4 linked regions of the Drosophila melanogaster genome follow. The protein of the gene in region 3 interacts with the protein of the main gene of each other region in a pairwise test. Each region holds a gene or a part of one and is shown on either strand. Other genes may lie near its edges. The genes, in order: PAN2, CG2082, Lcp65Ag1 and CG16978.

Evidence for each region.
Region 1: the proteins of Lcp65Ag1 (region 3) and PAN2 interact in a two-hybrid assay, tested with the Drosophila melanogaster proteins (one large-scale study listed by BioGRID).
Region 2: the proteins of Lcp65Ag1 (region 3) and CG2082 interact in a two-hybrid assay, tested with the Drosophila melanogaster proteins (one large-scale study listed by BioGRID).
Region 4: the proteins of Lcp65Ag1 (region 3) and CG16978 interact in a two-hybrid assay, tested with the Drosophila melanogaster proteins (one large-scale study listed by BioGRID).

Annotation. Positions count from the first base shown.
Region 1 is NT_033778.4:8,924,308-8,934,714, forward strand, and holds PAN2 (Poly(A)-binding protein-dependent poly(A) ribonuclease 2), read left to right. Parts: upstream 1-3,861; 5' UTR 3,862-3,992; coding exon 3,993-4,047; intron 4,048-4,150; coding exon 4,151-4,341; intron 4,342-4,401; coding exon 4,402-4,571; intron 4,572-4,628; coding exon 4,629-5,890; intron 5,891-5,951; coding exon 5,952-6,073; intron 6,074-6,126; coding exon 6,127-6,226; intron 6,227-6,283; coding exon 6,284-6,343; intron 6,344-6,402; coding exon 6,403-6,698; intron 6,699-6,762; coding exon 6,763-6,959; intron 6,960-7,023; coding exon 7,024-7,386; intron 7,387-7,447; coding exon 7,448-7,646; intron 7,647-7,707; coding exon 7,708-7,919; intron 7,920-7,983; coding exon 7,984-8,205; intron 8,206-8,263; coding exon 8,264-8,373; intron 8,374-8,435; coding exon 8,436-8,602; 3' UTR 8,603-8,796; downstream 8,797-10,407. Other genes in the region: CG8243 (uncharacterized protein), read left to right, coding at 1-396; CG8237 (uncharacterized protein), read left to right, coding at 1,455-2,432; AIMP1 (aaRS-interacting multifunctional protein 1), read right to left, coding at 2,765-3,577, 3,634-3,792; FANCI (fanconi anemia complementation group I), read right to left, coding at 10,310-10,407. UniProt on the Drosophila melanogaster protein: Catalytic subunit of the poly(A)-nuclease (PAN) deadenylation complex, one of two cytoplasmic mRNA deadenylases involved in general and miRNA-mediated mRNA turnover.
Region 2 is NT_033777.3:5,767,386-5,775,447, reverse strand, and holds the start of CG2082 (uncharacterized protein), read left to right. Parts: upstream 1-3,549; 5' UTR 3,550-3,746; coding exon 3,747-3,818; intron 3,819-8,062.
Region 3 is NT_037436.4:6,132,667-6,138,560, forward strand, and holds Lcp65Ag1 (Lcp65Ag1), read right to left. Parts: upstream 2,609-5,894; 5' UTR 2,548-2,608; coding exon 2,429-2,547; intron 2,368-2,428; coding exon 2,169-2,367; 3' UTR 2,031-2,168; downstream 1-2,030. Other genes in the region: Lcp65Ag2, read right to left, coding at 488-686, 748-866; Lcp65Af, read right to left, coding at 3,714-3,912, 3,971-4,074; Lcp65Ae, read right to left, coding at 5,053-5,245, 5,306-5,412. UniProt on the Drosophila melanogaster protein: Component of the cuticle of the larva.
Region 4 is NT_033779.5:13,141,477-13,147,335, reverse strand, and holds CG16978 (uncharacterized protein), read left to right. Parts: upstream 1-3,713; 5' UTR 3,714-3,738; coding exon 3,739-4,029; 3' UTR 4,030-4,122; downstream 4,123-5,859. Other genes in the region: CG9928 (uncharacterized protein), read left to right, coding at 4,471-4,791.

The sequences.
Region 1 (10,407 bases), on a different chromosome or scaffold from region 3:
GCCATCAGCAGTGCCACTGCGATGAGCATGGGCGGCTCCCATGGCTTTACTGGAGCCCAGTTTCCCAGCACCGGGGGCAGTCCCTATGCTGCCGCAGGCCAGGCAGCTGCAACAAATCTTATGCAAACGAACCAGAGCATTCTCAGTGGGATGCCGCTCTTTGGAGCTGTTCCGCAACAGCAGCAGCAACATCAGCAGCAGCTTCAGCAGCAACATCACCCACAGCTTGGCGGCCTCTCCATGAACTTAATGCAGCCCCTGCCCAGTGGGCTGAACATTGGCCAACCGCCACAAGGAGCGGGCGGATTTGCCGCAACGGGGCCCACCACCTCCTCAGTACCGTCAAATCTGAACCAGCAGTTTGGGAATCTTAATATCGGTAATGTGTGGCAATAAATACGCGGTGTATTTATGTAGTTGTATTCCTTTAATTAATTGTAAGACACGAGTGTTCGGTTCGTCTCGGTGTTGCAACATGTGTGTGTGAGACGGCGATGCTTGTTTATATACATTCGATTTATACAACAACTTGCCAATTTAGTTAGTTGTCCTATTCGTGTTCGTAGAAGAATTCATTGTCGAGCAAGCCACTGTATTAAACGATGTTCATGTCCATGTCCATCTCCATGTCCACCAGGAATCGCGTCTGCTCGTCTAAATCTATTCCAATTAAATCATAAAAGGTACATACATACGCGTGTAACACCCAACTACTTAAAATTGAAAATTGAACCACAGAACGTAATGCACTTTCCAATCAAATGTACATGTTATTTTTCAACATTAGCTAGGTATTTGATACGCATGCATTCAAAATCGTCCACGCCAGGGTACGAATGTAAGGTGTAGACTTCTGGCGCAGTACTTTTTAAATGCTTGATATCCTTAAGAACTTATTCACGCCTGTTTGTCAATGTGAATCTAAAATATCATGGCGGGTTGTCAACGGATTTATTGTATTCGATTCTTAAGTTGCTATGTCTAAGGAAGAAATCAAACCACTTCGAACTGTGTAATAATAAAATATTCAGACAATTGTATGTGCTTCGTTGTGTCGCTGATTTCAAAGTAAGTAAATACGGGTAATGTATGACCTCGTGCTTTTAATTTATATATTAAAGAACTACAAAATGCATTACATTTAGTTCATTAGATAAACAGCTTCTTGTTCGGTTGCCCAACTACTTTTTATTCAACATTATAGTTGTATGTACAAAAAGTTAGAATAATATATTTTCGAATTTTACGTACTATCAAATATTTCGCATCAAAAGTTAAAGTGAGTCTTCTTAAATTTTCCCGCCCTGCTTGAAATTCACAGGGAATCGTATTTAGCAGTATTTGTCATTCGCAGCGATACGCCGACACACCCTACCGATTGCAATACACGTCAACTTGTATAAATAAATAAAAGCCAGCCAAATAACAAAATCGATCATTGTGAGACTGAGAAAATGGGTGAACAAGGCGAGGAGACGGGTCAGAAGCTTACGGAGCGCTCCACCAAGGAAGCCTACTTCGAAAGCCTCGCCGAGTGGGCCAAACAGGCGACGCTGGCCCAGAATGCGATGCTCATGTTTCCCTACTACCTGATGGCCAACTACCCGACCATGTTCCCGGGACTGCCTTCTTCCGCTGCTCTCCAAGCAGCCGCCATGGGACAACCCCAAGCACTGGTTCAGGGCTCGGCTGCTGCGCCGGGAGAACCAGCTGCAGAGCCTCGTTTGCCTGCGCCAAACTTCAGCGGCCTGCGGATATTGGGCGAGGCGGCCCAGCTGGATATCATACAGCGTCTTGGCGGCTACGAGTACGTTCTGTCACCTTTTTGGAAGCGCGCCGTGGCGGAGACCATCGATATGTTCATCCTTTTCATTGTGAAAATCATCATTACCTTCGGGGTGGTCAACCTGTTCAACATAGAGTTCGATGAGGACGTGATTCGGCGCACCCTGGACCAAGAAGACCTCTTTTCGAACTTCTTTGACACATCACTAGATTTTATTTCGATGTCCACCGACCTCCTGCTAATCGAAATGCTGACCAAGTTCATCGTTTGCTGCTACGAAGCGCTGTGGACATACCTATACCAAGGGGCTACGCCGGGCAAGTCGCTGATGAAGATACGCATATACTATGTGGAAGCAGTGATGCCGCTTCAGGGGCCGCCCCTTCCACAGTTCGTCCTCCAGCCGCAGAGGGAGCCGATGAGGGCTCTGCTTTATCCGCCACAGACTCCCTCGCTGATGCGCTCCTTCGCCCGCGCGCTGATCAAGAACCTGGGGATGACCCTGCTCTTCCCCATTTGCGTGTTGATGGTCTTCTTCAAGAACAATCGCACCGCCTACGACGTCCTAACCAAAACGATTGTGGTGGAGAGCAATTCCATTGCCGTGTTCCGCACCCAAGGGCAAGCGCAGCGCAATAATCGCTGAGGACGGCACTTAAACCAGCCAAAGTGTGTAGGAATGGCGCACTCCTATGCACTTCCTATGCACATATAAATAGACTTGTTAATGATAAATTTAATGTCGTTATGTACTGCTGTCGTGTGAAATAAAATAAAATATCACATGAATACCTCAGAATCTGCACGATAATCAAACATAACCAGTAATCCCAATGATCAGTAGAGCTTCCGATATTCCTGTAGAGCTACTCTTCACTGGTACTAGAAACTGAATGATAATGAAGTTCTGATACTGAAATGGTGTGCAGGCGGTGATGTTTCGTTTATTGGCTCAAAGCTTTAGTTTCGTTTATTGGCTCACTTCACATTGACGTTCTTCAGGGTTTGGGCCACCACGTTGCCCTTGCCAGGAACATGGAGAGCGGCGCCCTTGTAGCAGGCAACCAGTTCGCCGTTGGTCTTCAGATCCGGGGCGCACGACTCAAAGATCTTCTTCTTGGGGTTGAGCTGGGCGTCTGGCTGGCGCGGATAGCCCTCGCAGTGAACCAGGTCGCCGGGAACAGCTCCGGCGGGCGGACTGAGCACTTCCACTTTTTCCGGTGTAGATGCGCACATGACCATAGCCTCCGAGGTGACGCCGCGCATTTTGGCCGGCTTCAGGTTACACATGACCACTACCAGACGGTTCTGCATCTCTTCCAGGGGCACGAACTTCACCAGACCGGACACCACGGTGCGTGGAGCCGCCTCGCCGCAGTCGATCTTCTCCAGATACAAGCTGTCGGCGTCGGGATGGCGACCCACCTCCACAATCTTGCCCACGCGTAAATCCAGGCGACCGACGTCGACGGGAGCCTCCGGAGCGGCGGCGGGCTTCTCGGCGGCCGGTTTCTTCTCCTTGGACTTCTTTTCCTTGGGCTCCTTGGCCGGCTTAGGAGCCGGGGCAGCGGGTGCAGCGGTAGCAGGTCCAGCCTCTGCCGGCATAACTACTGGGGCCGCACTGGTGCAGAAACCCCGGGCTCCAGGCACCGGAATCTGTTTCTTGCCATTTCGCAGCTCCAGCTGCACCAGCTGGGCCAAAGCCGCCTCAACTTCCTTGGCCAGTGCAGCGTTCTCCTTGATCAGCTCCTGCTTCTGGCGCTCCACAAGTTGCTGCTGGATGCCGGAAATCTGGGGGGCAGTAGGTTATCGAGTGTTCGCAGGCGCTGGCAGGCGGAAATACTTGCCTCGGCTTCAATGGAGTTGATCAGCGCCTCGGCGCGCTCGTTGTTGCTTGCAATCTGCTGCAGATCGGCCATTGTTCTTTTGTTTCTCGCGAATTTTGAGCAATTCTGGCCGTAATTTTTACATGCGGATCCCACAGTCGTGGCAGCTCTACGCAGCATTGCAGTGCTTCTTCTTGCCACGCACAGTGGCGTCGCGCAGCGTTGGACAGGTAGTTCGTTGGCGGAGAAGCGAGAGTATTTTTACATCAGCCCTGCCAGGGTCACTCTAATCGGTGCAACGCAAAAACGGCTGGCAGTTTTGAGCGAAATTTGTTAAAAAATAAACAATAAAAAGTCGCGTGGGCATCGGCGTGCGGCAGATGGATTACGTGTATTGCGGCACCGACCCCATCGGGGCCTCCGAAGACATACTAAGTGGGTCAAGGGGTCGCTTTGGGGCCAACGCTCACCCACACGCACACACACACGCAAGCCAGCTAAAGCTTTCTCCTTTGTTTTCTGTTTACTTTTTGAAAAGGTGTTTATGACGCGGGATCTGCGCCGGGAAACGGGCACTTTTCGCCCAGCTTCAATGGATTCAACATCGGCACCACCGATCCGGAATATGTGGAGCTTGTGCCCGTGCTTGCCGACGGCGGGGAGCACTTCGGCGTTTCCAGCGTGGCGTTCGACGACTACGAAGAGCTGCTGTGGATGGGCAACCAGGGCGTGAGTTCCTCGTCCAGCCTGCCAGGCTTACTAATCCTGAATCTTCGCTCCTTCCCGCAGGGCCACGTCACATCGTACTACACAAACTCCATGCAGAAGTACACATCCTTTCAGGTCCACGCCACCGACATTGTGCGCGACATCTCCACCCTGGACTCCGGAGTGCTGGCGCTCACGCAGACCTCGCTGCGTCATCAGATCCGCAGGGGTCTGCCCAAGTTTACCTTCAAGTAAGCCACCGCGCTGGCACAAAGATTCCCCGAAAGTGAGGTTTCAATTTCTTGCAGATCGAACAACATGAAGGAGATGGTGAGCATGCTGCAGCTATCACCGCATCGTCTGGTCATGGCCGGACTGCAGGACGAGCTTATCGACTTCGACCTGCGCACGCTCAAGGAAACCCGCATAGAGCATGTGGGTGCCGGCGGATGCACGGTGCTACGCAAGAATTCACGTTATCTGTTTGCCGGCGACCAGCTGGGAACGGTAACGTTGCGCGACCTGAACAGCCTGAGTGTTCAGCACACAATCAAGACGCACACCAACATCCTTTCGGACTTCAGTGTCCAGGGAAATCTGCTAATCTCTTGCGGCTACAGCGGAAGGCAAAATAACCTGGCCATCGACCGCTTCCTAATGGTCTACGATCTGCGCATGCTGCGCCTGATCGCGCCCATTCAAGTGATGATTGATCCGCAGATGTTGAAGTTCCTGCCATCGCTGACATCCCAACTGGCCGTCGTGTCCAGCTACGGCCAGGTTCAGCTGGTGGACACTGTGGAGCTCAGCGAGCCGCGAGTATCCATGTACCAGATCAACACCAACGGCAGCCAGTGCCTCAGCTTCGACATTAGCTCCTCTTCACAGGCCATGGCATTTGGGGACCAGTCGGGCCACATCAACATGATTGCCGCTGTACAAACGCCTCAGCCGCAGTTCAATCTCTACTCGCGAAGCACAGAGTTTGCGGACGTGGTGCCACAGCTGCCGATGGTCTCCATTACGGACACCAACTTTCCGCTATCGTCGGTCATGCTACCGCACTTGACGACGGGCACACAATGGTTCTCAGATTGGCCGGAGGAACTGCTGCGCTACCGCTACCACAGGCCCAAGACCATTGATCCCGAAGTGCTGAGCAACATGAAAATGCAGGGACCGATTGGATACTCGCCAAACCCACGCACCGCCCGTCGTAATCAAATTCCGTACGTGATTGAGCAGGGCGGCGTGTGCAGTCCGAACGGAAATGGAACTGCGGCGGCGACCAAGGCGGAGAACGGTGTGAAAATCATTCCACGGCGGTATCGCAAAGTCGAGCTGAAGTACACGAAGCTGGGCACCCAGGACTTTGACTTTGACCAGCATAATCAAACATGTTTCGCGGGGCTGGAGGCAACGCTACCGAACTCCTACTGCAATGCTATGCTACAGATTTTGTATTTCACCGACGCGCTTCGCGTGAAGCTGCTGGAGCATTCGTGCATCAAGGAGTTTTGCCTGTCCTGCGAACTAGGGTTCCTCTTCAACATGCTGGATAAAAGTACCGGTTAGTTTGCTTGTGTAACTTAACTATCCTTAGTTTAAGTATTTATGTGTGCTCCTTTCAGCTTCTTCACCTTGCCAGGCCAGCAATTTCCTGCGATCTTTCCGCACTGTGCCAGAGGCCTCGGCACTGGGATTGATTCTCACCGACCGCTCATCGAACGTCAATCTAATATCGCTGATACAGGCAAGTAATACCATGGTTTCCTAAGCAGATATTTAATTTATGCACACTCTCAGAACTGGAACCGATTCATTTTGCATCAAATGCATTACGAAATATTCGATTCTAGCAAGAACGCATCCACCTACAGCGGATCTGTGCAAACATCAACGAACGGTAACCACAGCCGAGTTTATCCTTTACAAATAAGTGAAACTTCGATTTATTTTGCAGCGGAAAACGCGGGCTCTTCAGAAACAAGTGGCTCCTCGGACCTTTACGATTCCATAAGTGGTGGGCAGGTGAATTAATGGTTTAACTAACACTCTAATCATATGTACGTATATGAACAGATGAGAACTCCAAGGAGGACGATCGGGAACGCAGTAAGATCAACGCAGAAACTGACATCAGTAAGATCTTTGGGACCAAGCAAATCTGTATAAACCGCTGCATCAAATGCCAAGAAGAGAAGATAAAGGAAAGCATTCTACTTGCCTGCAATTTGTCGTATCCCAACCACATCAAAGATAGTGATCAGTATTTCAACTTTGGCACCATTTTGAAGCGATCTCTCAGCTCCGAGAAGAGTATTCAGGCCTTCTGCGAGAGATGTAAGAAGTTTTCGCCAACCAATCAGAGCGTGAAGGTCGGGAGCTAACTTTATAGTGAACCAAGCAAGAAGTTACATATGTAATGCATCTGAATTTCAGGTGACTTCGCTTCCGCAAATTCTGTCCATTAACTGTGGCCTCAACAACGAAAAAGACATTACCTTCCTGAAGCGCCAGCTCAATCGCTGCAGCGAAAAGACGACTGTTGATGCGGCCGCTTCCTTGAGCACAAGCAAGCCGTGTCGATATGGAGCCAACTGTTCGCGAAGTGACTGCCATTTCATGCATCCGGATCGGTGAGTTACGACGAATCGAAACTGAATCAGTCGTCTTATGCATATTGTTGTACCTACTGTGCAGAAAATCTCCATCGCACACAAGCCAACCGAATGCTGTCAACAATTCTCCCAATGGACGCCAAAAGTCCTGGTTTCCCCTTACATTTACTATGGGCATCAATGACCAAGGTGAGGTGCAGGTGCAAACTCAATCAGATGCAAGCAGTGGCAAATCGGAACAGGAGGAGGAAACGGAAAAGCCACCAACAAAGGGCTTGGACAACAATCGGATGTACGCGCTGCATGCCGTGGTGTGCCAAGTCGATGATGGTACCCAAAAGAACTTGGTATCGTTGATAAATGTGCAGCGGCCATACCACACCATGAAACTGGCTGAATCTGCAGATGACCCTCAGAGTCAATGGTATATTTTTAATGATTTTAGGTAAGTTAGATCTCTATTGTGAATGGCCTTCGATTAATATTGCTCATATATCGCTCAACAGCATATCGCCCGTTTCGCCACAAGAATCGGTATGGTTCACATTGGATTGGAAAGTTCCTTGCATACTCTTCTACAGACACGTAGAGGATGACTCTGAGTCTGCTAGTACTACTAGCTCGACCGTCACGGAAAGTGAAGAAACCATTCCATCAGAGAGCAGCAGCGGCTCGCCAACAAATCTATCCAACCCTTTTCTAGAGGTTAATAGTTTAATATAGCATTGAGTCTGCTGAATGCTAATCTGAATCTTAATCCTACCAGGAAATTGTGAGTCCTATGCTAGGCAACTTAAGTGCAGACGCCACGCTGCAGCCCCTGCAGTCAGATGAAATGCCGCAGTCGGGTGATCTGGTCGCAATGGATGCCGAGTTCGTTACCCTAAATCCAGAGGAAAATGAGATTCGCCCGGATGGCAAAACGGCGACCATTAAGCCATGCCACATGAGTGTGGCCCGGATTTCATGTATACGAGGGTAATTCATTAACTGAAACTTAAAAATATTCATCTCGATAAGCACGGGTATGAATTCTTTACAGACAAGGCCCGGCTGAAGGAGTTCCATTCATGGACGATTACATATCCACCCAGGAGAAGGTCGTGGACTACCTAACTCAGTTCTCGGGAATCAAGCCTGGCGACTTGGACGCTAACTTCAGCAAAAAGCGACTGACTGCCTTGAAGTACTCATACCAGAAATTAAAATACCTCGTTGACGTAGGAGTAATATTTGTCGGACATGGTCTGAAGAACGACTTTAGGTGGGATGCCCTGCTTTGTAAGGAACCAATAGACCACTAAACTTCCATGTGATTGCAGGGTCATAAACATCTATGTACCGTCGGAGCAGATAATAGATACGGTGCACCTGTTTCACATGCCACATCATCGCATGGTTTCCCTAAGATTTCTAGCCTGGCATTTCTTGGGTTTGTATAGGGGTTTTCTTCGATTTGGAATTGTATCTAATTGGGTTTTCCTAATGCCAAAGGTACTAAGATTCAGTCCGAGACGCACGACTCCATCGAAGATGCACGGACCACTCTGCAGCTCTACAAGCACTATTTGAAGCTGCAGGAGGAGAAGAAGTTTGCCAACGCTCTCAAGAATCTTTACGAACGCGGAAAGCAGCTGCAGTGGAAGGTTCCAGAGGACTGATTCGTCGCCAAACCCGATGCCAATTCGACGAAACTCATAATCAACGTTATCGTCAGTACAAACGCTACACCGATCTGAAAAAATCCCGGCTTCTCCCAATTTTATTATGTTTTAATGCGTTGCTATTTGCTACGAAGCTCCTGGTATTTCATGTTGTATTTGTCTATCTTTATAACAAAATCAAAACAAAGCATAAAAGTTGTATTTCTTATCAGTGATGCTTTATTGATCGTTGATGCGAATCTAAGTTGCTTATCAAATCCACAATCGGGCTAATAGGCAAAAGCGGGCAACAGATGTGTTCAGGGATCGTGCACGTCAATCGATTCAATTCCTTTGAAATTCTCATTCGCCCTCCCCTATCACCAGCGGCGTTTGTGAATTTTTGAGATGCTGTCGCCAATTTGATGAATAACCTGATGTTGGACTACTGCGCACCTACTTATAAATACCACGACGAGCAAGTCAAGCCAGTTAGTTGTTAGAGCTCACCATTCACTCAGGGAACATAGATGACAATGCATTTGCTTGGACTTCTCGTGCCGATCGCTTGCGCTGTTTTGTGCGTTGGTGAAAAATCCCTTTACCATGGTCTCGCCCAAACGGAGACTAATCGACGATTCCATTGCTCCCTCAGCTGCCGATCTCCAGCGGACATACGACGGACATGATGGGCCTCACGTTTTCGGAACACCCGGCAATCAAGTCTACATTCGGGGGCAGAACGATGGCGTATACAAGGTGCCAGGAGTAGGTGGTCAGTTCCATCACGCATCGTCGCCAGCAGATCACGTCTATACGGATGAGCAGGGGATCACGTATGTGCACAAAAAAGACGCTGGAGGACCAGGTGGCTAAGAATCATGGTTCGAGGCAGTGCATAAATCTTATTATGGATACTATTTTAAGGAACACATACGCTTAGAGGACCAGGTCTAGCTGCTGTACAGCCCGCCTACTCCACTGTGCAGCCTGCGGGACTTCGCAATCCCCAGTTTCATGTGGAGCGAAGTGGTCGCACTGTGGATGTTGGTTCTGGAGGATTTGTCGTCCAAAGGAGCAGACGTAGTCCTCAGTTCCATGTGGAGCGTCCTGGTCGCACTGTGGATGTGGGTTCCGGAGGATTTTTTGTCCAAAGGGGCAGGCGTAGTCCCCAGTTTCCTGTGGAGCGACCTTGGCAAAGGGCTTTGAAGGACTGATTGTTGAAAGGGACAGCCGCAGCATCAAAGATGGCCGCGTCCAGGGAGAAAACTTCGTGGCTCGTGACGATCAAGCAGGAATTTGGGATGATAGTGTGTCGGTGTGGAAGCGTCCGGATGGACGAACTGTCTCGGTGGGCAATGACGGAAGTGTTATTGTTTCTGGACATGGGCACACGCTGCAAGTGAGTACATTGTTTAATTTATCAAGTTTCGCTTATGAATATACTTATATATATTTTTTATTTGCAGTACTAATAAATAATGGGAAGCAGCCTTTTAATTTACAGAGATTAGGTAGCTAAAATTCCAATGATATTAAATGAACAAGATTCACAAAAACATTGAACAATTTTTCTTTTTGAACATGTGGAAATTCTAGAAAACAGCAATACAGCACATAATGAAAATTAAGTAATTGCGATAATCGCAACCATTTTTGAATAAGCAATGGACTGGCATGATTTAAATACATATACTTTTTAATATACTTTTTTTTAACAAAACATCATTTCCTTAATGTACGAGGTATTCCCAGTCTACGACTAGGTTGTGGTTTCTTCTTCTCAGCGGGCACTTCGGGAACGCAAAGATCCACTTTGGCTG
Region 2 (8,062 bases), on a different chromosome or scaffold from region 3:
TTTTTTTTAGCTGAATCTATTAATAATATACCCCCCCCCCCTCCGCCAAGGAAAGTGGTGGAAGGGCTTTCTTTGGCCGCGCCAAGTGGAGGAATTAAAAATGTTAATTAAATTTCGGTTCGGAATGGAAGGTGGAGGGTGGCGGAGGGTGGAACCCGAGCTAGGTGATTCGCCTGCCAAGAGGGCGCAGTGGTGGTGGGGGATTCGGGACCAGGTGTTAGTAACACGGACTTTGCTTACACTTTGCATATCAATTTGGGACGAGTGGAAGCGGATGATAATGGCGGTAATGATGCTGATGATGGCGCTTATCAATCAGCGCGGGAATTTCGGTGACCAAAGCTTCATTTGCATTCCATTCGAACGACCTTTCACTGGCGGATGATCGATGTTCGCATAAGCCATGCCCATCTTCCCCCCATCCTCCGTCCGCTGGGCCAACGCATGCATTTATTCCATGTCGTGTACACTCCTATCGTTCCGCTCGTGAGTCCAAAAATAGCTGGGCAAATAAGTTGGGTGGCGTGAGTTCGCGACTACGACGACGCGAACATAACGAGCAAAATAAATGAACGATAAAAAGCCAATAAAGAGCGGCATAAATAAATGCGTAAATATCGAGCGTATACATTATATCGTTGCGGAGGAATTTCCGAAGATTGCCTGCCACTTTGCAGGGCAGGGGCGCGGCTCAAGGGGCGTGGCAGGAGGCAGGAGGCATAAAGGAAGATTCGGCAAACGCATTTGCTCAAGTGTCGCCGTTGTCATCCTTCGGCTGTTGGTTTTTCCAGGACGTGTGTTTGTGTTGCCATTTGGGCTTAAGTGTTCCGGGCTGATCCTGCTGGTGCGGGTGGTTCCAAGGGGGAACAGGATGCTCCTGTAAATGTAGGACGGGATTTAAACTGTTGCAAATATTTAGTGGGCTCTTTAATATATCCAAATATATCCAAATTCAAAACGTTAGGTCTTTTCCATTAGTCTAATTAGTAAAATACGATATAAGAATAAATTGTGTATCAAAATTCATGTGCTTATATTCCCTTTTTGGCTCGACAATTTACACAAAGTGCTTGAGTTTGTTTTTATATTTTAACCCATTGAAGAACAGAACCCCTATGATGGCTTTTGCCCAAGCTCCAAGGCACCAAAGGCACCGAAAAAATTGATTGGATTTGTTTACCAAGAGCCATTGCTTCCTGTTTCGCTGACTGCCGACAAGTCGTTGTTTATCTCTTGGAATTTAGCGTCTGTTTGGGGGAAAACCTTGAAGTTGAGTTCCTACTTTCACGCTTAACTTTGCGAATTGACATAAATGGGATATTTGCGCTTTGCCAACTCCCCAGATACTCAGATACCCAGCTACCCAGCTACCCAGCTACCCAGCTACCCAGTTACCCAGCTACTCAGCCAACTACTTGGATCCGCCTGAACCCATGCTCCGCAGCTTTTGCCGCCTTGAGCAATCGGCTTACACACTATCAATTGCAGCCACCCTAGTTTTAGCACCACCCCCCTCCCCGCTCTCCACTGGGATCCCATTCAGCCATTGTTTGCCACACCCACATCATCCGCTAACCGCTCGAAAAAGGCGTATATTCCCCAGGTGCCCATTCACCTTCCTGGGCCAACGCCTGCCCGCCCATAAATCCACCTCCTTGGCGGATTTTGTTGTGGGTTCGAAGCACCTGCCTGGATAATTGTGGCTGACAATGGTGTTTGTTCGTTGCTCGTCGTTTATGTGCATGCAGCGCTGTTCCTTCGCCCGCCTTTTGCTTAATTCCTTTGTCTGACTGGCGGCTTTATGCGCTTTCAGTCATCATCATCATCCCCATTTGTTTAATTAAAGCACGTGTCGAAATTGAAACACAAAAAATTATGACACATATCTGCTTATGGCCTTGGCGGAAATGCATGCAAATTTTGAGAAGATCAGCGAATTGCTCTCGTAAAACATACATTTAATATGGTTCATTTAACTGAAATGAAACAACCTTTTGAAATTTTTAAAATATCTTCAACGGTTTTTCTTTCTGTGCTCTTGTAAATCGAAAGAATTTAAAATCGCATGGAGTATCAAGTATCCAAGCCTTCAGTTCATCCAATATTTTTGGTTTACCCCTAATTGGCTTCAACATTTTGCGCTTTTCTCATCCAACTTTAAATTACTTTCACTTTGGCCAGCCAGCATTTTCGAGCTGCATCATCGGTAGTTGCGAAGGGGATGGCCTTCGATGTCAGCACATAATAGTAATCCATTCCATCATATCACCGTACCGGCCGCACCGCACCTCTGCACCTATGCTCTGTGACCCTTTTTCCATATCCATATCAGAAATTTCGACCCGGCGGCCACGCCCCCACCCACAGGCACAGCCCCTCGTGGCATAACCGCAGCCGGCTTGACCTAGGACACGCATATTTCTAATGCGCATTTCGCCAGAGAAGTGGGCGGAATTGGGGTGCCCGGGTCGTCCGGGGAGACGGATTTGCGCATTTCCCGCGCGCTGACAAATTAGCACATCAAAACAAAAAGGCCAAAAAGGCTTAGAGCAACAAGAGAAGAAGGGCTGCAAAGGCGAGAGCCCGCCGACAATAAAGAGTCTGCTCAACAATGCCACCGAAAACAAAGTAAGACAAAAAGGATTTTTACATAAACCCACGCAAGACACCCACACAAACGCAGGCCAGCAGAAACACACACACACACTCTTACAGCGACGAACGTGAGTGGGCGCCAAACTAAGCGCGCCCAAAAGTAGGCAACGGAATTTTCTCGGCAGAAGCTGTAGGTGCGCGTGTGTGCGTGCATGTTGCAGTGCGAGCGTTGCCAGATGGAAAGAAACGTATATGTGAATGTTCCCTTGAATTTTAAACTGCAATTACGTTCTTTAGAGGTAATTGAAATATTTGGGATTGCTTGACGTAAACAAATGAGAATGAGAAATATTTATATTTTCTGGTTGGTATCTAGAATCACTCTTTGCCAAAGCTAAAAATACTATAAAATTACACCACAAACAAATAAATAGTTCATAAGCTGTATTTAGCTAGGTTTTATAGGTAGCATATTTGTCTAGATGCATATTTTAAGTAATCGTAATGCATTGAAGATTCCAGAAACTACTATTGACGCATACAAAGTCAAAGGACCAGAAACACAATATCTAAATGTGATATAAATGTGATATAAATTTAATACTTTTCAACACAAAACTCAGTTGGGAGTCGAATTTCGTAATGCGTAGTTGGTGGGCAACCATCTGGCCACGCTCTGTGCAACACCTTCCCAACAAACTGCCCTACGGCAACATTTCAACACTTGGCCCACCCCCAACCGCCTCTTTTTCCCCGGCAGCATCACTGCGAGAGCGAGAGAGACAACGGTAGAGGGGGAGCGAGTGGGCAGAAGGCGATTTCACTTGGCCATTTCACTCATCATCAGTTTGTTTTGCTCCCCGTTTCGCTCAGCTTCGTTTCGCCTCGGAAAAGATCGGCTTTTCACGCCGGCGATGGCGATGGCGTAGCATTTTCCCATGATAAGCCAGTTTTCCCAGTCGTCGCCAGGCGTTCGAAGATTGCGCATTCGTTCAGAAACGCGGTTCCGCCCGATTCGCATCCGATTTCGGTTTCCATCCTCGAGTGCTGCTGTGCGCCTGATAGAGCCCCGTTCGAGCCACGCTTGTGTGTCCCGCAGTTCCTTTGAGCAACCCAGTGAAGTGAAGCTACCGTCGCCCGAATCCCACACCATGTCGAAGCCGGGAACCCCCAAGCACGGCGCCGGCTCATCCTCAGCAGCTGCTGCCCCCGAGAAGATTAGCGTGAGTTCCGACATAGCAGTTTACCGCCAGGAGGACAGCTTTTCGAAAAGTGCATCCTGGCTGATTTGGGATGCAGAGCATCAGAACACCATAATATCATGTTCCACATCACTCCCGTCCGTCAAGTGCGTTAATGCGCTTTTCTAGAATTCTCTCTGTGCGTATACGTAATATTCGTAACACGCCGAGCTGCAAGTGCGAGCGACTACTTCTGTTAACATCTCAAGTGTCTGAGTGGTATAATCTTTCAAAAAAGTCGGGATAAATATTTGCACGGAAATTAGTGATGAAATTGCAGACGAGTGAATTAGTTTGCTATAAGACCAAGTTGTTCTGAATAATATTTAAAAACCTACCTAAATTAAGAAATTATGAAATATTTCTGAGCACTTGTACCACGAAAAAGCTATTAGTTTTTCTTCCACATGAAAAGGGCTAAATAGCACGTAAATGGAAAATTATACTATCAAAAAAACGTAAGGTGTTGAAAATGTAATCAACTAATTTCGTGACAGTTCGAGGGCTTTGTGGAATTAGTCTACCTAAAATTCATCCCCTTTACTTCCTTCAATTAAAAAAGGTGAGCGCGAAATGCTAAGCCAGACTAAGCCACCGCGATCGAATAGAGAAAACAGAATACAGAATATATTGTAGAAACATATGCTGGTGACCTCGAATTCCCCTTTTGGCACGGGGTTACCTTTTGTAGTTGGGTGCTGTTTGCTTTTTATTTTTTTGGCCCTCGGTGCCCAGTGAACTGGGCTCAAAGGGCATAGCATACTTTCTGTCTTGCGCCTCATAAAAATTGCATAATTGTCGTTCTGCATGTCGTTGTTTGTGCGACTCTTTGTGTGGTCCTGTTGATGTGGCTATTGGAATGGGGGCGACTCAACCATTAGCCTGGAACTGCATGTTTCTTTTTACGTGCCATTTGCGGTCGCATCTGGCACACAGCAACTGCGTAGAGTGGGCCAAAACGAATCTAGGTGCTCAAATGGGCAAAATTATGGTGTTCGTTCGGTCTTATTGGCCTGCTATTTCCCTCTTTTATTAGGCAGCTAATTATATGGCGACAAAGTGGTGCGGACTCTAAACGGAAATAAAGGAACATATCCAAGTTGAAAGTTAAAGTGAATGCACCCACTTCATTGAAATATGGTTAATTTATTGTTGAAATGCTACATGTTATTTGATAATTTGCGGAGAAAACTAATAACTGGAATATAAAAATTAAATCTTTATAAATATTTGCTATGTAGCATTTTTTCACTTATTCGCTTTTGGCCCTCGTGGCTGGCTCATAATTTCCCCATTTTCCTTTTCGACTGAGCTCATTAAATCCTGACCACAATGTGAGCTGCGCCACTTCCACCCCGACCACATGGTGCACACCCTCTTGTCCTGCATTGCAATCTCAATCCAAATATGCTGACTAAAGGGCTTTGCTGGAGTAAATCTCTGCGATATATGGCTGTATTCCTGTCCGACTCGCTTTGTTTCCCAGTTTTCCGCAGGGCTCGCTCATCCCCTCAAGCGGAATCTGAATGCGATGGAATTTAACTAGGGAAAAGCATAATGGGGAGTCGGCTGTCCATATAGGGGTATGCATTATACATGATACTGCAGACCGGGCCAGACCTATACCACTATTCCCACGACTTTTTCCATTTTCCTTCGACATTCTGCCCGCGGGTCTTCCATTGGCCGCCTTGAAGAAACTTCCCATAATTTGTGCTGGCCCACACTCACACTTCAGGATATAAGTCCTTTTCGGTCAAGTTTGCGTTCTTTGTTCCGCCCAGCCAAGTTTCTTCATCCTCCGAGTTTGTTTTCGCCGGAGCATCTGGCGTGTCCCCTGTCCACAAGACGAAAACTTGTTGACTTCGAAGGCATCGAAAAACACGCGTTTCTCCTTTTATTTCAATTTTTTTTTCATATTTTTTCCTCTATGCATTGTTAAGTGAGTGGGAAACGGTGGCGTAAGAACTTTGCCACCGGCAAAGTGTCAAAGTTTGCAAGGCAAGGTTGCTCATACGCCCCGTTGCCCCCTGCGGCTGCGGGCGCAAACTTAAAGAACATTTAATTGGTGGCTTTAAGCACCGGCCTACATGCCCGCGTGATTTGTTTGTGTCTATTAAAAATTCCCTGGCAATGCGGTCGCTTCGCCAGAAAAGTGTGCTGGAATTTTGTTTGCACAACTTTTCGCATCACTTGGGGGCTTTTGCCTTTATGCAACCGACCCCCACCCCTCCCCCTGCAAGGTTTTCCATAAATTCAAACACTTTTACCCAGATTTTCACCGCCCTCATAACGGCATCCGCAGGCTGTTGGAAAAGTGTCGGGGCATAAAAATCCCATCAAGTATACGTCAAAGTGCGGCCAACTTGTGCTCCTCTTAGATAATGCCTGGCAAAAAGGTCCTGCACGAGAAGTCAAAACGATTCCAATTCCAAAATGCTGACTGTGACTTTTCGCTCTGGATTTAATTGCATTTCAACTAGATAGGCAAATTCTACTTGGTCTAGAAGAGCCATTAAATGGTTCACATCTACATATGGCAACTGAATGTTTTAGTCTCCGAAAATCCACCTGCCACCAATCTTTGAATCGGACTACTAGGGCAGAATAAATATGTAACTATGTCCCAATTATAATGCACTGCACAATGGCACAGTCCACCGATGATTACTATGGATACAGACTCGAATTTGTGTACATTAGCAGGATTTGCTGTGCCAAATCAGCTGGGAAATTAAATATCATATCAATTATGTGGCCTGCACAATGCACCTGCAGAATTCAATCCAGGCAATTGCTAATTGAAACATTTCGCCCGCCACTGGGTATTCGGAATATTAATTGAGATTAATGCGTTGTTAATAGAATGAACTCGGAAATGGCACAAGTACGAGGGACCAGAGGCGGCCCATATCCGATAATTAAATCTACATTACCATTACGCATGCTGGCCAGGAAAAGGACGGCAAAAAGTGAGGAATAGCATCAACAGAATGAGCCGGGCGAGAAGGAGGCATATCTATGTGGGCAATCCACCCCCAGGACGACACATGACAGCACTTAACCAAATACCAATAAAATCCTCAGAGCTGGGGATTTTGGGGCGTTGGGGGCATCCCCAAAGTGCTACGGTGCAAGTGCGGTTATTAGACAAAATCCATTTACACTTGAATTCGCTTTTGGCCAAAATGAAGTGGCCAAGACGGGACCTGGACCTTCTGTCCGTCCGCCCATCAACAAACTGGGAAACGGACTGAAGGAATGCGAATGCAATAAATTAAGCCCGGGGAGCAGTCCCACCGATTGAGTTAGGCGTGTCCGGCGAGGAAAATGCTGATTAGCGGAGAAAATAGGGGATTGGGTTCCGGAGGACGGGCCTGTGGCCTTAATTCAATGGCAGGCACTTTGTTAAATAAACTTTCTGTTCAAGTGGCGAATACTTCTGCAGCAGACTTGGCTCTCTCTCGAGAGTCCTTAACTAGGTCCCGGCTTTGTTTTACCCGATCCACGCTGATGAGTTGAAACCCTGATGAGCCGTGTGGTGGGCAGTGGGGGATCAGAGATAAATGGTGACCTATATCCACCTGGCTGGCGAAACACTAGTTTCCAATGATGGTGTATACCTCTGATGGGCAATTAAACAAGCACAAGACATTTAGCCTGCATGCTGATGGATGGAGTGCTGAGGTGCGAACTTTTAGCCATTTCAATCTTACAAACTTTTCGACTTGCGTTTAACGATTTTTTGAACAAGCAACCAGATGACAACTTCTGGCTACAGCAAGTTTTCTCGTTCTTGGATAAAATATATTGTAATTGGCAAACGTTTGTTGTTTGCCTTTCGTTTTTGCTCTTGGAGCAGCTCAAAGGATATTTCTGATTCGTTTAGCAGATTAGAAACAGTCAGAAGATAATAGATCAATATTCAAACGAATTTTAATGTAATCACACAAATATGTACTCAATCTTATTAAATGTAAGGTTAGATACCCCATTCTGAAATAATGGGAGTGCGAGGGAGAAATTTCAAAATAAGCTTAAAAACCACACATCGTTTTGCGGAACAGAGTGTATCAGGCATCAAGCCGTCAACTGTGAAATCCATCAGCAATCCTGCAGACTGAACCCGACGGAATGACGGCTCCTGCAAACGCTAACACAAGGATGTGAGTCCTGGGAAGGGAAGGGATAGGAAGCGTTTTGATATGATGGATACGGGGCTGCCG
Region 3 (5,894 bases):
AAATGCTTTGTGTACACTACTATTGGTATATACATTAATTATTAATAGAAAATATCAATCAGCAATCCAACAAGCATGGAATATTCTACATATCAGAGTATTCTATATCAAATATCAGAGTATTTTACAAACATTTAATCGTGCAGCGGTCACGTATACACGCTGTGACCAGTTTCTATTCTTCGAATATCTATAATCAGTCGGTTCTTTTTCGACTACGACCTTCCCCATATGTTAATCAAAAGCTAATTGTATTCAAAACTTAATTTCGACTTCTTCTGAAAAATAAAATAATTATGAATTTTATGAAAACAAACACACATAAGTTCAGGTAATTAAATTCCTTTAATATTTAACAAGTGGTGCTGGTTGACTTAGTTCCCATCCTTTGAAAACAGGGATAGGATTGGTTTGGTAATGTTTGGGGCTATTAACAAGGAGTTGGATAGTATGGCTTTAAAATTGCTAAAGGTCAAAGCAATTTCACTTAGGCCACGGGGGCAACGGGCAGATGAGCACCCTGGGGCTGGAATCCGTTCTTATCGGCGATGTAGTTGACTTGGTAGGTCTGGCCATCATCAGCAATGAAGCGGTAGGATCCACTCACAGAGATAGCCTCGTTCTCAGTTCCAATGTCGTTCAGCTGACCTACAGCTTGAGCAGCCTGTCCATCGGAGGTTTCCCAGCTAAGAAGGAAGTCAGTGTCAGCTAGGTATCCTTTTGGGTCATTTCTCATAGGCAACTTACTCGTATTTGAAGCTTTCGGGTCCAACGTCGGATTCAGAGCGCACGATTGTGGGTTCCTCAGCGGCAGGAGCAGCCAGAGCCACGGCGAAGAGGGCGACGAAGACAATCAGGAATTTCATGGTGATTGTTGTTTGGTGTTTTGATCTGCGGTTCTCGAACAGTTCGCGACGAATGATGCCCTCTGATGGTTGTACTCCCTTTATATAGATGGATGGACAAACTTTGACGACCGAGCCCAACGCTGCCAAACTAGTCAAACTTGTAGTGTATAAAGCAAAATGTGATAAATGTGTGAAATTGAATTCGGCCTAAAGCTGAATCGTTAAAAGCCCTATACGATATGTAAATCGGACATCTTCATCTATATAGTTTGCATAGTTTCGCATTCCTTTTTCAGCTGTCTTCTCGTAGTTTCTATTTAACTGGAGCTAAAAAAACATAAGAAGTCATGGCAAATGCATTAAGTTTAACTAATAGCAGCTAAAAAAAAGTGCCCAGAACTGACAAAAACAAAAAGAGTCAACAACAAAAATAAATGTTTTTACTTGGACTCATATATTTTATGCTGATAAGCACGCCTAACCTTTTTAAAAACGTGTTGATAATTTTTTCACATTTTTATTAGTCTTGTTTCTATCGATTTGCAAAAAAAAAACTTTTTGCCACGCCCAGTCTAGCTCCCTACAACCGCCAAAACTACCACGCCCACATTTTCGAACCATTTTTCGATATTTTTCATACTTTTATTAGTCTTGTAAATTTCTATTGATTTGCGAAAAACCTTTTTGCCACGCCTACTTTAACGCCCTAAAGCAGCCGAGTCTGTCACGCCCACATTTTAAACAATTTTTAAATTTTTTCTCATTTTATTTCATAATATCTATCGGTATCATAGAAAAATTATGAAATTTCGCGTTCGCATTCACACCAGCTGAGTAAAGAGTATCCGATAGTCGGGGAACTCCACTAAGCATTCTCTCTTGTTTTAGATAACAGCTTATCATATATGATGAACTGTTGTTATGTCAGGTTTAGTTCTCAATATTATTGATTGATTAATCTAAACACAGTTCTCAAAAGTCTATAACTTCTATTACTTATAACTTATAACTTCTATATCACAATAAAACTATAGCACTTTGAATATTGTTTTTAAAATAGACCATTGGGAAAAGCTATATCTTAAAAAGTATATTTATATTTTACGTAAATTATCTTATGTTTATAGATAAGTGATCAATGATTTCCTGCTACAATTAATTCCCATTTAAAACAAATTACTTCATGTAATAATTTTTTCTTTAATAACACTTTAGGCTTATTGATTTAGATTCTGTTCTCCTTGATAAGAACGGTAATAAAGGTTTTCTATTTCCTGTTAACCGACATTAAAAAGGAACTAGTTAAAAATGTTGAAAAACTTATGCCACGGGGGCAACGGGCAGATGAGCACCCTGGGGCTGGAATCCGTTCTTATCGGCGATGTAGTTGACTTGGTAGGTCTGGCCATCATCAGCAATGAAGCGGTAGGATCCACTCACAGAGATAGCCTCGTTCTCAGTTCCAATGTCGTTCAGCTGACCTACAGCTTGAGCAGCCTGTCCATCGGAGGTTTCCCAGCTAAGAAGGAAGTCAGTGTCAGCTAGGTATCCTTTTGGGTCATTTCTCATAGGCAACTTACTCGTATTTGAAGCTTTCGGGTCCAACGTCGGATTCAGAGCGCACGATTGTGGGTTCCTCAGCGGCAGGAGCAGCCAGAGCCACGGCGAAGAGGGCGACGAAGACAATCAGGAATTTCATGGTGATTGTTGTTTGGTGCTTAGATCTGCGGCTATCGAACAGTTCGCGACGAATGATGCTCTCTGTTGGCCAGGGCGCGTCTTAAATAGTTGGACAACCTCTCGATTATGCTGAACGCATCCGAATTAGTCAAAACATAATGTGAAAAATGTATATTATTGAGTACCAGCTATCTCTGAATGGCTTAAAACCTAACACAAAATGCAAATCAACAAGTTTAGGCAAGTTGTTCAAATTGGTTTCACTAACTCAGTTGTTACTAGCAAAAATACTCGGCTGATATTAATAACCACATGAGAAACAAGGAAAAATTATCAATAGATGGCAATCTCACAAGCAGAATCTGAAAGCGGCTGGATAAATCGGCGGGACAGTTGGCGGGACAGTTGGCGTGAGATTCTGCGGGACACGCCGGAATGATCCCTAATCACCAGTTTGGCTTCAGAAGATCCCACGGATCGACCGATCAATGTCACTGGAGGTATTCGAAAAAAAAGAAACATTTCTGTGCCGTCTCAAATCCTGCACGGAGAGGAGAGTATTCCAAGTTAGATGCGGAAGCTCAATAAGCTCATCTAGGCCCATTAGAGCCGGAGTAGCACAAGGCAGCGTCCTTGGAGTGTCCCGCTGACACCAGGTGTTCCGCCAACTTGTCCGTCGACTGTCCCGCCGACTGTTCCTCCAACTTGTTCCGCCGAAATCCCGTCGATTGTCCCCGAAGAAGCCACAGACATCATCCAAAATTAACTGGATGCAATGGGCCCTAGGATGCAAAGGTGAAACATCGTAGTGAACGCGGAAAATCAATTTTCACTTTCGCACAGAGGAGAATGCCGTACAATCTCTTTAAGCGGAGACTGAATCTCTAATTTACTCACACTCAAGTACTTAGGGATGACTCTGGATCGCAGGCTAAGCAACAAATTTGTGGAAACTATGTACGATTCGAAATAAGTTATTTATTTTTCATAAATATTGACTTATTGCGAAATGATCACATTAAAAAGCCATTCTAAAAACTTCTTTAGGAGATGTTACAATTGTTAAATAATTTTTCCGAAACTAAAGTTTCAAAACGAACATATTCATGTATCTTTAATCAATCTGTTGAGGTTTTATTCATAATTGAAGGATTTTTCAGTAAAACAATATTAACGATGGATAGCTCAAACCACGGGGGCAACGGGCAGATGGGCACCCTGGGGCTGGTATCCGTTCTCGTCGGCGGTGTAGGCGATGGAGTAAGTCTGGCCATCATCGGCCACAAAGGAATAGGTACCCTTGACGTTGAGAGCCTCCTCATCAGTTCCAACGTTCTTCAGCTGTCCGGCGGCCTGAGCAGAGGATCCATCGCTGGTCTCGTAGCTAATCAAGAGCAAAGGGTAAGAAAACAAATCCTTGTCACATAGTTCACAAAACATACCCATAGTTAAAGCTTACAGGTCCGACATCGGACTCCTGCTTCAGAATCTGAACATCGGCGACAGCCAGGGCGAAGAGGGCGACGAAGACAATCAGGAACTTCATGTTGATTTTTGGCTTATGTGCTGATCTCGAAGAGTTCGATGCGAATGATATCGATTGACTTTGGGATGAACTCATTTATACATAAATTGTGAACAAGTCCAAGGTGCGGTGACGCTAATCTAATTCGCATACTGAGCATAAAATGCATGATATTGAGTTCAGTTTTGCTTTCAACTCAATGGTGAACGTTTTTGAGTGTTGCCATTTCAGCGCTTCAATTTTGATTACATTTTATCAAATTTGTTTGAGACTAGCTGTGGAAATTTAATATTCATAGATCTAGAGATCTAGAGAGATGTGGATGAATTTAAATTAACGATACATTTATTTATTTATTATATTATTTTTGAATGGGAAATGTAGACTTCTTTCAATGAAGTCCTTTTAAAAATAAAATTCTAATTAGTAAAAAATTCAAAAGAAATGGGAAAAAGTAGGCCAGGCATGTAACTTTATGTAGCAATAATTGCTCCAACAACTCGGATTTATTTGTTAGGTATAAGAAAATATTAATACAGTTTTTAAGCAAGCTTATTTCGTATACAAGATTTAAATAAAATTTATAAGTAAACTAAACTAAAACTAGATTAGGGTAGGCATTTTCCATTAATATAGGTGGAAATAGGGAATATGAAATCCCATTTTCTGGCATTCTAAATACGTGGCTCTTACTGCATATCAGAAAGTACAATTAAAATCGACTAACAATATATATAAAAAAATACTTAAGATATCGGTCCAATCATCAGATCGATCGATCTGATCTTTTGGGATGAGTACACGTTGTGCTATAAATATTTCATTTTTTAGAAGTTGACTTCTTGTGACCCAAATAGGAAATTGAAAAACAGATTCTTTTATATACATTCATTATTTTTTATTATTTAGTAGCTCTACAATTTTGACTTTTGACTTGGCCAAAACGGATTTAGGGCAGTTAAAGCAATATTAAAATCATGGTATTCCACTTCGAACCACTTAGGAGGCAACGGGAAGATGGGCACCCTGGGGCTGGAATCCGTTCTCATCGGCGATGTAGTTGACTTCGTAGGTCTGGCCATCATCGGCAACGAAGCGGAAGGATCCCTGGACAGCAAGGGACTCGTGGTCGGTGTTAGGGTACTTCAACTGTCCCTTAGCGTTAGCCGCCTGGCCATCGCTGGTCTCGAAGCTAATACGAAGGTCCAGAATCAGTTAGGCATTTTTATGAGGACCCTGTCAGTCTACTTACGACCACTGAAAGTTTTCGGGTCCAACATCGGATTCCAAGTTAATAATTTGCGCTTCGTTAGCCAAAGCAAAAGCGAAGATTGCTACAAAGACGATCAGGAATTTCATGTTGAATTTGGGCTGGTTTGGAGATCTCGAAGAGTTCGATGCGAATGATATCGACGGAGTGCAGGATGAACACTTTTATATTTGACTTGCAATCTAATCCACGACACTGTCAAACCTAAAATCTTGCATATCTCATTAAATGGACTCGCATTTTGGAAATCGCAAAACTATAATGGGATGCTTCATCGGGTTTTTCGAATTAATGTCCCTGCACATACATTTCGCATCGTATCAAGCTGGAATGACATGAAATAAATAGTCGTCAGGCAAGATAGTTCTACTAATTGGCTAGTTCACCACTAACAATGGCCATAAAATTAAACAATTCTTAGACAAATTCAAATGTGTAGCACTTCTTATTGTTCAACTTCATTTTCACATCCCTTCCTAATATAACAATCGGAAAATAGCAATGAGTTCAGTTCGATCGATTCGCATACGTATATTTAGAACTTCATTGAGCATACCAGCCAATAGTTCTG
Region 4 (5,859 bases), on a different chromosome or scaffold from region 3:
ATGGTAAATGTGCAATTTTAATGGATTTTTCTGATTGTTAACACATTGAAATAGAATACTTATATACCATATATAAAATATATATTATATAAAATATATATATATTAAATTATTGTATGAGATATATCTTTCTTAAAAACGTGACAATACCAAAACCAATATCTAAACAAAATCATACTTGAAGTTCAAAAAGAATTTAAATACTTTTTTCGAACATTTAAGCAATACAATCGGAAGTCGCTCAAACCGCCACTGACTCATCCGCTTGATGTGGTTGCATTGTCCAGATGTAGATGCACTTTTTTTTTGGTATATGCAAATTTGGATTCATATTTTTGCAACTTTATTTTAGTTTTAATTGCGCGCACGCAATAATTTTCCTTGATGGCGCATCAACGTCAAGGCGAATCGCTCGCCAACGCTCCATCCATCATAAAAGGCCAGCCCAGCAGCGAGTTGGCCAAGTTGGCGGGTTTGGGAGGAGAAGGCTCTTTGATTATGAGCGCGTGCGCACAATCAGGCAGAAAAATTCACAGAGGCAACCAGAATCGACTTGGCTGGACTGCACTGTCCGGTGGACAGGGCGAAGCCAGAGATTCACCCAGTTGGGACTCGATTATCATTATCATTCAGGGGGCGCAGCGGCCATAAAAACGATTCTGCGATTCCCTCTGTGTGTTTCTGTTAGCCAAATGGCGTCTTGCGCCTTGTTTTGCATGCTGCGCTCGTTAAGAACGCCACCGAGAACAATGCAACAGTGGGAGCAGTACACTGAAAATAAAAAAGGGTAGTGCTATGGGGTAAATACTGCAATTGATATGGGTAGAAAAACATTAGAGGATCATTATGGGTAACTTGCTTAAGTATATATATAATAAATCTTATATCTTATAGATGTATTTTATAAAATAAATTTATATTTAATAAACTCATATTTTAAAAATCCTTACTTTCTAACATTTTTGTTAGACTATTTCCTTAGCAACATTTGCTTGTTTTAATTGGGCCATCTAACTTTTTACGGTGTAAGACCAGCAGCATCGACAGCAGTTATCCAACTGGTGTCCAGTAATGGGCTTAGCCCAAGTAAACCCCCTCGCCAACCGAAAACAACTGCGGTTTATAATGACGTATCGGGCAAAATAAGAATTGAGTCAAAGCCGCGACCTGCATATTGATTCGGCATGGATTAACAAACCTGACTCTCCTTCTCCACGGGCCAAGTAATAAAGCCAAGAATGCGAGACGTTTGCCTACTCATGACAATGCAATCCATTCTTATATAAATATTCATTTTAACTCATAGATCTGTTGGCCAGTAGCAGGTGCCATGCCTGCAAATAAGCCAAGACCAGTAGTCGCAAAGATCAAATCGATTTGTGGTGGACCTTGATGGTCAAAAGAGCTAATCTTTTAAATATGAATTATAAATATCACGAACAAGAACCACTTGATGCATTGGAAATGGGAATTTTTTACATTAACCTGGCTTTTAAAGACCAGCAATTATAGATAAATTATATGATGGTTGATACTTTTATTTAAGAGAATATATTGTTTAAAACTATAACATCTGTTTTAATTGACTTCTCTTGGCTTCTCTTTGAAAAGTTTATAAATCTCTTTGAGCCAAAACAGCTCTTTGGTATAGCTCTTAGCCAAAAGTCGTAAGACGAAAAATAGAAGAAAATCGGGCATAAAGTAGAGACCAATTTAATTTGTTTGTTTTACTAATCAGCGGCACGTACTCGCACGTTTTTTGCGTCAAAGTCTTTAGTGCGGTCTTTAGCTGAATTCTGTTCGCCGATATTGGAGCTCTTTTTGTTGCCATCGCTGCTATTGGACGGTACGCTTTTGACCAGGTCGGGCGTATCGGCTGCCGTTTGGCTAAACAGCCCACGTTTAAACATGGCTCAGAGCGTGCTAATCAAGTGGCTACGAAAACAAAATTACGCGACCGACTGAGCAAAAGCCAGCTTTGACTTTGTCTCGTTTTTCATATATTTGTGGTTACCTTTCCAGGGGGTTCTTCGATTTTTGAAAGAGGTTTGTAACACTGAAAAATATACCCACAAGCTTAAGGTATATATGAAGAAAATTTAAACGATTAGATGTCATTTTTGGTCATAATTAAAATCGAGTTATTTTTACAACTTCAGTATTATCAATGATATTGATCATTGAAGCTTCGAAAAGGGTATTTAGACATTGGCTGAAAAATATTTATTTTCCTCCTCTTTTTTTTGATTGACTTTGGTTTTTATGTTATTTGGTCGCGTTGCGTTGAAGTTGGTTTTGGCTTTGGACTCCGGTGAAGCCAGGGGATTTGGGGCTAGGGCTGGGCCGTCGTTTGGGTACGCTTTGATGGCTTCTAGGTGAAGGTCATTGTGTGACTGAAATGTTAATTTGACTGACTGTCGTACTTTTATGCCGGAGTGCCTGGGCTATTTCAGTTGTATCTTTTTAATGGCACTTGCTAAGGTTCTATACACCTAGAAGTGGGTATTCATGTCGGCTTAAAAACCACTAAACAAAACTCAAAACCAACTTTGATTTGTTGCGCCGCTGGTATGCGGCGATTTTTAAATGACTGACATTTGCTAGCAAGTCGACATAATATACAAAAGCATCAGAAAAAGTTTGAAATTTTTTAAAATATACATTAATTATAGAATTGAAGTTGAGGATATTAAAATAATTAAAAACATATTTGTGGTTATTATTTCAGTTGCCAGCAGAGTTTTTATATTATATAAAGAATTTTCTGAAACGTTTTAGAAATGACTAAAAACGATCCGTGTAACAGCTTACTTTGATTTCAATGGCGCAGTCTTAGACTCCAATGATGGCGATGCAAATGAGCGACATATTTGCAGACAAGTCCACCAGCAATTCGGTGAATGGGCGGGCGTCTGCTTCCCCGGAGGATAATGAGCTGCAGCCCCCGTGAATCGAGTCTGGTGGCCCATCTAATGGTGTTGTTCGCATGGTGGTTAGATGGTTGAATGCTGCAGCTACAGCAGCAACGATTCAGCACCGTTTTGCTGATGCGGCACACTCCAATGCCATAAAAGGGCATTAGCCTCGTGAGTAGATTGCATGTTTTTACCACAGGTTTTCGTGGATGGGCTCCCGTCTTTTGGGGTGGCAAAGTGAGGTTGTACTGGCAGCTGAGTGCGCGCGCTTTGGAAAATTGAATAAAGTGCCGGAGGAGCCAACGAAGGATTGAGGCAACGAAGCGGAGTAAAGTGCTCGATGCTGGCAGCCAAGTCATTTAAGGGTTGCCGGCAGCACTCACATCGGCCTACAAGGAAAGATGAAATACAGTCGCTTTGCTAAGTTTATAATCCCTTATTTAGAGTACATTTTCTGACTACCCAGCTAACTAACACAACTCTAGTAACTGACAGATGATTGGCATGGCCGAGAATTTTCTCAACAGACATAGCAATTATTTGGAATTAATCATAGACTTATTTGCATGACTGTTGATCCGCAAGTGGCAACGTGTCGTATGCGCAATGCTTGCTCTTGCTGGGTCTGCGATGATTCAGAGGGGACTCTAGTACCGCCCAACGCATAAATATGAATGAGGAAATCGAAGCAGCTTGCCACTTGGGCTTAGCCCAGACTGGATTTTCCAGAATTCCATTGAACTTATTACTGACCGACACGATCCATATAAAAACGAAAGAAATTGCATCTGGCTATGCAGTTGCCGGCGGTGCATTGATCAGCATGATGAGCCGCATCATATCATTGCTTCTCCTATTCGGAATCATTTGTGCTGCTCTAATTGCCGGCCATCCGCACGACCTTATTGAAGATCCGGAAGGTACCAATGATGCTTTGGAGGAATCTGGCAGTGGATACAACAGTGCCGAAGAGTTCATGAATGCAATGGACGAGCTGATCAGACGCTGGCAGGAGAACGATGCAGCTCATGAGAACTCAACTGACTATCCAAGTCTTGATGACGATGAGACGACTTTGGATTTTATGGATATTACCACCGAACCGGCTACTTAATATGGAATTATTTAGTAGTGCTGTAATGCTAAGTCATGCTATCCTATTGTCTGTAAATAATCTAGTTCTTCAATAATAATTATTAAGGGAAATAAAAGAAAGTTTTTAGAAATTTTAAAATGAAATCAATCAAGAGAGAATCAAGAGATCTTCATTTTTTGATAATGAATGTTGCCTACTCCGCAATTTCGATTTTAAGTACGCATTAAATACTAGTCATAGATTGAATTTAATAGCTCGTTTAGTATATCAATTAAGCTTGTGGTAAGCTGTGTTGCTGTTAAGCTGGAATTTCCCGCACTCACCTCTGTCTAAAAGTATACATATCACCTTTAAACCAACCACTTAGAACTGCTGATAACCCAGGGCAAGGCTATAAAAGCCCAGCTCAAGAGCCGACTGACATTCAGTCAACTGTAGCCAGAGCTAATCGAAAGAAAAATGCAATCCATTCTCCGACTGCTGGTGCTGTTTGGATTAATCTATACCGCGATCGGTGCATCGGGTATATTTCAGAATATAAACCTCGGTGGCGAAGGAGGAAGAACACGATCTTCAGGTGGCAACTTGGACTGGAGCGATAGTGTTCACAGTTCTGATGACGATAGGACTCTGAAGCTACTGGAATCGTTGGATAACAGTGGCAATGATAGAAATAATTGGGGCAACGATGCGGTGAGGAATTCTGGATTCGATACCGATAGATCCGCAGGAGACTCAAAGGAAGACGCTCGCGGATTCCAGTTTATACACATAGGATAAATGTTACGATGTTAAAATACTCAATTTAAATAAAAGAATTTTTAAAAGATTAAGAAATAAGCATTATAAAATGCTTTAGATTTTATTACTTAACAAACGTATTTATTATTTTATGAACTGATCTTATCTAACAAATCCAATGGGCCTTGACCCATTTCGAAATCAGTTCCGCCTGTTTCATCATTGAGAATTTTTCACTTTTACTGTCGATTTAAAATAGCACCCCTCTCTAAATATCTTTAATCATACAGCTTATGCTAATTAGGTGAATAATAAGTAGAAAAAAAAGAAACCAATTTTGAGCTTAGAATACCATTACGATGAAAACGAAAACAAAAAGAAATTAGCATATTTATGCGATTTTATGGTTAAACCAACGTTCTGTGTTAATAGCCGAATTTCAGTCTTCAGCATAGCGTTAACCAGTTATACATAACTATAACTAAATGAAGGCTATCGAGAGAAATTAAATCGATTTCCGCATCATGAATACATTTTAAGCAGTGCTAATCAGAAGAAAATGTTGCGCAAGACCTAAGCAAACTTACCTCCGAAAGTAGTTAAATTTTTCTTCTGCCCTTTGAACAAAATGGAATAATAGAAAATATTTGTTTGTAAACATACAACAGATCTAAATTTAATTACCACCATTAAAGCGTAATTTCTATCTCGGCAAATCAATCAAAAACAAACATCGAGCGGAACAATCAATTATTTCGATTACAATGCAATCAATTACTATGCAAATTCTCTTCGCACACAGCAATGACTGAATTCGTATAATTAAACAATTTTACGTTTAAATTTTGACTTAAATTTAAATGATTGCTTTTGCTAATTATTTACCCCGTTCAAATAACAATTACAGCAGCGAATTCGAGGTGTAAATAATGGAAACCGCACAATTGTGCTGCGTTTTTGCCGCAGGACGAGCAGCAGGTTTCTCTTTTAAAATTGCAATTATATTTAAACGTTTCCCGTATTAAACGCACCCCATTTTCCACGCACTTTATTAAAGACCCAGAGTTTTCTCAGCCACATTTAACGCATATAATCAGTGTTTTAATT